Callithrix jacchus: one gene and its partner. Each later gene encodes a partner of the first gene's protein in a complex. Links are inferred from orthologs where the notes say so. Each region holds a gene or a part of one and is shown on either strand. Other genes may lie near its edges. The genes, in order: RAF1 and RAP1A.

Evidence for each region.
Region 2: the proteins of RAF1 (region 1) and RAP1A are in contact, whole or in part, in a crystal structure (PDB 3KUC), measured with the Homo sapiens proteins. The link is inferred for Callithrix jacchus from reciprocal best matches to the Homo sapiens genes RAF1 and RAP1A. Residues at the interface, in NP_001341619.1 of Homo sapiens: Thr57, Arg59, Asn64, Lys65, Gln66, Arg67, Thr68, Val69, Val70, Lys84, Lys87, Val88, Arg89, Gly90; in NP_001010935.1 of Homo sapiens: Val21, Gln25, Ile27, Val29, Asp33, Pro34, Ile36, Glu37, Asp38, Ser39, Tyr40, Arg41.

What each region holds. Positions count from the first base shown.
Region 1 is NC_133516.1:69,763,907-69,767,721, reverse strand, and holds part of RAF1 (RAF proto-oncogene serine/threonine-protein kinase), read left to right. Parts: intron 1-977; coding exon 978-1,080; intron 1,081-1,404; coding exon 1,405-1,562; intron 1,563-3,551; coding exon 3,552-3,650; intron 3,651-3,815. UniProt on the Homo sapiens protein: Serine/threonine-protein kinase that acts as a regulatory link between the membrane-associated Ras GTPases and the MAPK/ERK cascade, and this critical regulatory link functions as a switch determining cell fate decisions including proliferation, differentiation, apoptosis, survival and oncogenic transformation.
Region 2 is NC_133508.1:149,582,680-149,586,975, reverse strand, and holds the start of RAP1A (ras-related protein Rap-1A), read right to left. Parts: upstream 3,025-4,296; 5' UTR 2,883-3,024; exon of another isoform or gene 2,469-2,882; intron 1-2,468. UniProt on the Homo sapiens protein: Counteracts the mitogenic function of Ras, at least partly because it can interact with Ras GAPs and RAF in a competitive manner. Together with ITGB1BP1, regulates KRIT1 localization to microtubules and membranes.

The DNA of each region.
Region 1 (3,815 bases):
GTATTAGTTACTGTTGGATAGGGAGAAAAATGGCTTGACTAGTCTTCTGGTAGATGATGGAGAGGCTTGAATAGTGCTATACATGTTATTCTTTCTTTACCTGAGAATATTCTTCCTTTGGAAAACGGGCCAGATTAACTGGATAAGACATGAGAATGGAATTGGGCGTTAATTTTTATATGTATATATTTTTTGTCTTATTTATACTGTAGGCACAGAAGGTGTGGTTTCAGAGTAGATTTTAAGACACTTAAGTCTGTCATTATCTTGCAGACCCTACAACTACAGATCAGAGTCTTTTATTAATAGAAAAGTACATTTCATTTGTGGTTCCTTTCTGTTTATCTAGATTGAAATAGACTATTGAAGACTAAATTTTGTACTGCAGCAATATTTATAATCCATTTGACAGGATTTGGGGATTTTTGTAAGATTTTAATGTTACAAATTTCAATTTAATATATATTGACTTTATCGTGAGATTGTTATATATCATTGTTTAAATAAAACTTTATCATGGCCAGATATGGTGGTTCACACCTGTAATCCCAGCACTTTGGGAGGCTGATGCAGGAGAACCACTTGAGGCCAAGAATTCAAGACCAGCCTGGGCAACACAGCAAGGCTCTATCTCTACCAAAAAAAAATGTTTTAAATAAATAAAGAGAAAACTTCATTCTAAGAACATGGGCTTTGGAGTTCAACAGATGTGGTCCAACATAGGCCTTTATACTTGCTGTGTGGCCTTCAGCAAGTTACCTTCTTAGAGTCCCAGTTTTCCTATTTTTTCAGATAGGAATGATAATACTTATTTTATAGGTTTGTTCAATGAATTAAATAGATTATTGTTTTATGGCTATATAAAGCTATATAGAGTTGTTTATAGCATGTGATAAATGGTAGCTGTTATTTGTATTGAACTCCTACCTTGTTTAAACATTTCCCTTTCATGTTTTTTTTTTTTTAATCCTTTTTAGTAAAAAAGCACGCTTAGATTGGAATACTGATGCTGCCTCTTTGATTGGAGAAGAACTTCAAGTAGATTTCCTGGATCATGTTCCCCTCACAACACACAACTTTGTAAGTTGCACATCTCTCTTTCTAGCATGTTGAGGGCTTTGCCAGGCCTAACAGAAATTTCTCAGGTAATAGGCATATGTGTGTGTGTGTGTGTGTGTGTGTGTGTATTTGGATTGTTTGAGGCTCTTTATGCCATTGTTTACAGTAAGGCAATTTAGATTTCATTGCCTTAGTCAGAGATACACTTTAATTTATGATTATGAATTCTGTAAATGTTGGAAGTATGATTGATTTTTGTAAAAACTCTTTTGGAGGCCAAGGAAGAAAATGACTTTGTCTTTTGTCATCTTTTATTCAGCATAATTTACACCTGTGTTCTTGTAGGCTCGGAAGACGTTCCTGAAGCTTGCCTTCTGTGACATCTGTCAGAAATTCCTGCTCAATGGATTTCGATGTCAGACTTGTGGCTACAAATTTCATGAGCACTGTAGCACCAAAGTACCTACTATGTGTGTGGACTGGAGTAATATCAGACAACTCTTGTAAGGCATTGTTCATTTTCTCAAGGAATATAGGGATAAGGAGTATAAATACTTTAAAGGATATTCATTGTAGATTTTGACTGACAGGTCTGGATTCTAGATTCATTTACAGAATTGTGATCCAGAAACTATCTACTTTAGAAACAGATACTTCTGAAACTAGCTAGGTTTGGTGGCATTAATACTCCAAAATGAGCAGGTAGGAATAGGACTTGTTGTCTGTTAAATTGAGATTGCCATATTGTGACTGTGATTCAGTAAGGAAAAGAACAAAAGGATATGAAAATGAGAAGATTTTTTGGTTTTCTCTCTTAATAGTATCATCTGCTGGGTTGCTAGTAGACACTGCTCTGTATTTTGTTGCTTATGCTGAACAAGCCTTTAACATTGAGAAGGAGCAGAAAGCGCAGTTGATGCTATTTTCTTAACTCCAAACTGGAGAAAACTTAGTTGTTTGGACTTAAAATTGTTTGAACATAAAATCTTGAAAGATTCTTGTTTCTGTCAGGACACAATATATTTCATATAGACAAAATATTATTTTATTAAAAAATTTAAAGTACATGGTCCAAACTGCCTTTTAAAAACTGTCACCAGGAATATGAAAAGTTTAAAGTTTTGTCCTTTTCGACAGTACTAGAGAAACCAAGAGAGTGTTATTAGACCATAATGGAAACATCTTTTTTGCTTTCGTGGTTACTCACATATTGATTTTGTAATGAGAGCTTGAGTAGCACAAATGGCAGGCACAACCTTTTTTTATTTGTCTTATTTTTGTCCTTCAAAAAAAAAAACAGGGTCTCACCCTCTTGCCCAGGCTGGAGGGCAGTGGCATGATCATAGCTCACTATAGCCTCAACCTCTTGGGTTCAAGTAATCCTCACCTCAGTCTCCTTAGTAGCTGAGACTACAGGTGTATTTCACCATGCCTAGCTAACTTTTGTATTTTTTGTAGAGACGGGGTTTCATCGTGTTGCCTGGGTTGGTCTCCAACTCCTGAGCTCAAGCAATCTGTCCACCTTAGCCTTCCAAAGTGTTGCAGGTACAGGCATGAGCCACTGCACCCAGCAGCACAAGCTTTTGAGTCCAACAGACATGTACCAAAATCTCAGTGTTCTCATTAACCATAATCACATCTGAGTTTTCATTCACGTGTCTGAATAAAGGGGATATTACCTTCCTTGCATTGTTTTTGTGAGGCTTGCTGACATAACCTGTGAAATTTACTAAGCACAAGTGCCCAGCTCATGGAAAGAAGGTGCCTAATTACTCACTTTTCTATGATTTATTCCTCCTGTTTTACTGTTTTTATCTATGTATTTCCAAGTTGAAATGTTTCTGGAAAAGCACTATGTGACATAGTTTGTAAAATGCTGTGTAGTCTGAAAAAACATTATTTTGATCCTGCTAGACATAGGACCAATATTTCCTAAAAATGCACAGTCCTAGAAATGCACACTGGGGTGGGCATGGTGGCTAACGCCTGTAATCCCAGCACTTAGGGAGGCTGAGGTGGGTGGATCAGCTGAGGTCAGGAGTTCAAGACCAGCTTGGCCAACATAGTGAAACCCTGTCTCTACTAAAAATACAAAAATTAGCTGGATGTGGTGGTGTACACCTGTAATCCCAGGTACTTGGGAGGCTGAAGCAGGAGAACCTGGGAGGCAGAGGTTGCAGTGAGCCGAGTATGCACCACTACACTCCAACCTGGGCAACGGAGCAAGACTCCGTCTCAAAAAAAAAAAAGAAATGCACGCTGGAGACTGTATGTTTATTGGCAGGTCAGTATTATTCACATTTAATAATCATTCAAACCCAGTTATTTGGAATGTTGTTCCTTTTACTGTAGGTAACGTAAAACAGTTGAGGAAAATGTGACTGGGCAAAGTTCAGTTTGAATAGCTGTGAGTTTGCAAAAGCAAGGCATGCTGATTATCTCTGTAAGATTACTACAGCTCTAAAAACCAGTCTTTCCCTGCTTTCATTTAGATTGTTTCCAAATTCCACTGTTGGTGATAGTGGAGTCCCAGCACTACCTTCTTTGACTATGCGTCGTATGCGAGAGTCTGTTACCCGGATGCCTGTTAGGTAATTTTTTACCCATAGCTTTTCTCTTAGAAAGTTATTGGTGGGTGGCAGGGGGCAGGGGTTAGAAGCTCAAAGACAAAATACAAGAGTTTGTTCATATTCCCTCCTCTCAATGTAGAAACCCCTTGCTGTTTCTGTGGAACTTGATACTGGTGGTACAGCAAA
Region 2 (4,296 bases), on another chromosome or scaffold:
TGGTGCAGTGACGGGAAGGAAGTTAGGATATGTACAATCTTGAGGAAAAAGGTTACAGGTAGAGAAGACAGCAAGTGTAGACACCTGAGTGTAGCTGACCTTGAGAACTAGGAGGCCAGTGTGGTTGGAGTACAGCAAGCAAGAGCAAAAGTAAAGGGACTTGATATTACAGAAATAGCTGAGGTGGGCTGGGCCCGGCGTGGTGGCCCCCGCCTATAATCCCAGCACTTTGGGAGGCTGAGGCGGGTGGATCACCAGGTCAAGAGATCGAGACCATCCTGGTCAACAAGGTGAAACCCTGTCTCTACTAAAAATACAAAAATTAGCTGGGCATGATGGTGCACGCCTGTAGTCCCAGCTACTTGGGAGGCTGAGGCAGGAGAATTGCCTGAACCCAGGTGGAGGAGGTTGCGGTGAGCCGAGATCGCGCCATTGCACTCCAGTCTGGGTAACAACAGCGAAACTCCGTCTCAAAAAAGAAAAGAAAGAAAGAAATAGCTGGGCTGCTGTAAGTCTTGCATGCCATGGTAAGAACTTCGGATTTTTACTGTGAATGAGATGGGAAAACACTGGACAGTTGTGAAAACAAGAGAGACTTGCTCTGACTTAAATTTGTGAGCATCATTGTAGCTGCTGTGTGGAAATCAACTTGGGGTGGAGGGGCAAGAGTGGAAGCCGGAAGATCAATTAGGAGATTAATAATCTTCAATTCTAACCTTTTTCAGTGATTGCAAAATTGTGTATCTTCATGCTGTTGGACATATAGTTTCCTTTTCTTCCCATCTATTAAAGTAATTAAACGAACATGTGCATATACAACATTTTCTTTCTCTTGGAATCTTTCCTTGGGGATTTATTCCCAGAAGGACTACAGTACAGGATCAATGTATACGAATATACTTAACTTCTGGGGTATATTAAGTATAGATACTGTCCTTCCTGAGGCCATACAAAAAGTGAACAAAGACTTTTGAGCTGTTTTAATATGAATTGGGCAACACTCAGGGATTCCATCCAGTTCACTTTTAAGACAGATGGTCATGGTTGGCCTCAGAGGGTCCCTAACACTAATGCAAAATTTTGTGAATAAATGCCTATTAACTTTTTTCTGAGGAGAGAGTTTATATATTTCAACATATTCTCAAAGGTGTCAGTGGCCTAGAAAAGGTTAAGAATTACTATTTTACAAACTGGAAGTGGAATGCAATATCCTAATATAGGGTACCTCTCAAAAGGACGGAAGATTTAACACCTAGACTCATCTTGGTAATCATTCAATTCATTCAACAAATACTGAACATGTATGATCCGCAGTACCTTACAGCTGATCGTATCTGAAGTAGACCATAATTTAAACACCCAGGAAACTAGACAAGAGTCCCTGAAATATATACAAAAGAATATCAAACTATATAATTTCAAAACAAAAATGTTACAGGAACTAATAATAAAGACAGAAAGTCTGGGGCCTAATTTAATGCTTATTATGTCAAAGTATCACAGAAATAAATTACATCACAAGTAAAGAAAACTACACATAGGCATGTCCACCCCCACACATTCTGACAGGAAACCCAAAGAAAGTTTCCAAATCCTGTTTCCAGCAGCATCTCTTCTGAGACAGCCCTTCACACTTTTGAAGGTAGGAGCCCCAAGTTAAATCTAAGAGCTGATACTTTACGCTTACTGTAATAACAAAACCATCATCCACCACCTAAGAAGGAGAAAAGAGTGGCTACCTGCAGGGCTGTGGTCCAATCACCTTCTGCTCTATTATTCTATTTCACTTCCTATGCCTCCTACCTTCAAGGAAGGAACAAAATGATTTTCCCTCCCGAAACAGAATGCATTACTCCTCAACAGTAGTTCTTTTTCCAAGAGGTCAAAGGTTCCCTAAACTCTGGTTCTCAGCCCTGTGAGGAGATCCCATTTGGCAAGCACAAATGTCTTCCTCTCATCTTCTCCCCGTAGCAGTAAATTACACAATTCGGCTGAAGACACCGTCCTTAACTTCCTGAGTAAGAGGGGCAAGAGATGCTCTTACCAACGTTAGTTTGAAAGATTACAAGAATCACACTGTGACCTCTTCCCTAACAAAATTCAGGGAAGAAGCAGAGACTCATGAAAAGTAACATTGAAGAAGCGAACACATGGTAAGCTACGGAAGACCTGGGGGTAAAGAAGGCGGGAAAGGGGCTAGAAGGTGGAGTGGGATGTAGAGATGTCAGCCCTATTCACTGGGGGAATAAAGGAAGGAAAAGGAGACCCTGAACCCTGACAGAAGTGAACACGGACATAGCAACGCTCCAACCGGTCCGCACTTCTACAGCAGAGGACAGAGGACAGAGAATTCACCCAACCCTCCAACCCCCTCCCCGTGTGCCCCGCCAAAAGGGAGAGGTGGGTTGGAAAGGAAGCTCTGACCCTAGACAGGGGACATGCAAGAGAGGAAGGCAGCGACGTCCAACCTTCTAAGTCTCTCAGGCAGTGATGGGCGAGGGCACCAAGTCTGGGGAGACGGCAAGGGAAATGGGCTTGTGCTATGACACCTCGGGGAGTTGAAGGGTGGGGGACACAATGTCCTCTTTCTCTCCCACAGCCGGCCGGGGCCCCTCCCGACGATCTCCCGCAGGCCTACAGTCGACCGGGTCGGTCCGCGGGCGTGGTTGGCTCTGGCCCTGGCGGTGGCCGGGCCTCCCTGATCTCCGGCCCCTCCCGCCGGCCAGGCCCCCGGGCCGCCGCCCCGGACACCGATGGAACGCGGAGGAGGAAGGGGGAGCCAGGCGACTGACCGGCGACATGAGCCGCCTCACCATCGGCTCCGCCGACCCGCGCCCCCCGCTCCCTCTGGGACAGTCTAGGGCTCCCCGCCCCTCACTCACCCCCCTGGTCCGGCACCTCCTCCACCTCCTCCTCCTCCTCCTCCTCCTCCTCCTCCCTCCTCTCGCCCGTGGCTCCTGCTCCGGCTCTGCGCGGCGACGGCAGCAGCGGCCTCGGGAGCGGCGGCGGCGCCTCCTCCAGAACGCGCACGCACGCAGCACGCATCCCCGCCCCCTAATTCTGTCCCGCCCCTCCAAGTGAGCCGCGAATGGGCTTCGGCCCCGCCTTCCCCGCGGCGTTCCGGAGTCCGCTTAAAGGAGCCGCGCACTTTAAGCGGGGAGCGGGGAAGTCCTGGAACTACCGGGAAGGGGCGGGGAATTTTAGCTTTGCACACAGGCGGAATGGGAGGTGGGTAAGACCGGAAAAAAAATGAGGAAGGGTCCAAAGATTCAAGAAGAAAATTTGGAGGGAACGCAAGCATTCGACAAGAACTGAGCACCTGTTAGGTGCCAGGCGGTGTTCTAACTAAGCGCAAAGGGATCAAGCCATAGACAGGCAAAGACCCTCCTGCAGCATGCTTGCTAGTGGAGTGGGAGAGGGGATACAGACAACAAACAAGTGACAAAAACTGCAGGTAGTGATAACTGGTGTGGAGGAAAATAAACGGGAGATAGGGTGACTTTACACCTGGTCAGATACTGCGTCTCCAAGACCTTTGAGCCCATACACACGGTATGAAGGAGTAAGTCTTGCAGACACGGGGGCGGGGAGGACGAATAGCCTTTTCCAGGCTAAGAGAAAATCAGCCATAAACCCAGAGGTAGGGATATGCCTGCCATGTGCAGAAACAGTGAAAGGCCGGCGTGGCTGTGCAGCGTCAGCCAGCCCGAGAGCAGTACCAGCTAGGCTCAGAGAGGTGGGCCAGTGGCCAGATCCAGTGAAACCTGTGGGCCTTATAACAGGAACTGGAAACCATAGTAGGAGGGTGAGCTGAGGAATGACCGCATCTGATTCACATTTTTAAAAGTTAGTCTTGCTGATGTGTGTAAAATACACAATGGGGAAAGCACAGATGTCCTTGGGTTACCAGTACGGTAGCTTGGATTAAGTAGCCTGGCAGCCATGGACAGGATGAGAAGGCTATTTTATTGTATTTAGATACATTATAATTAGAATGGATTTGGATTTGGGGCATACTGTGTGAAAGAACAAAAGGAAATCAGAGTTGATTCTTATGTTCCCGCCAGATGACTGATTTAATGGTGGTGCCATTTAATGAAAAGGAGGCGCAGATTTGGGGATGGGGAAATCAAGAGACTTTTTTGCACATGTTATATTTAAGGTACCCGTTCGGCCGGGCGCGGTGGCTCAAGCCTGTAATCCCAGCACTTTGGGAGGCCGAGGCGGGTGGATCACGAGGTCAAGAGATCGAGACCATCCTGGTCAACATCGTGAAACCCCGTCTCTACTAAAAAT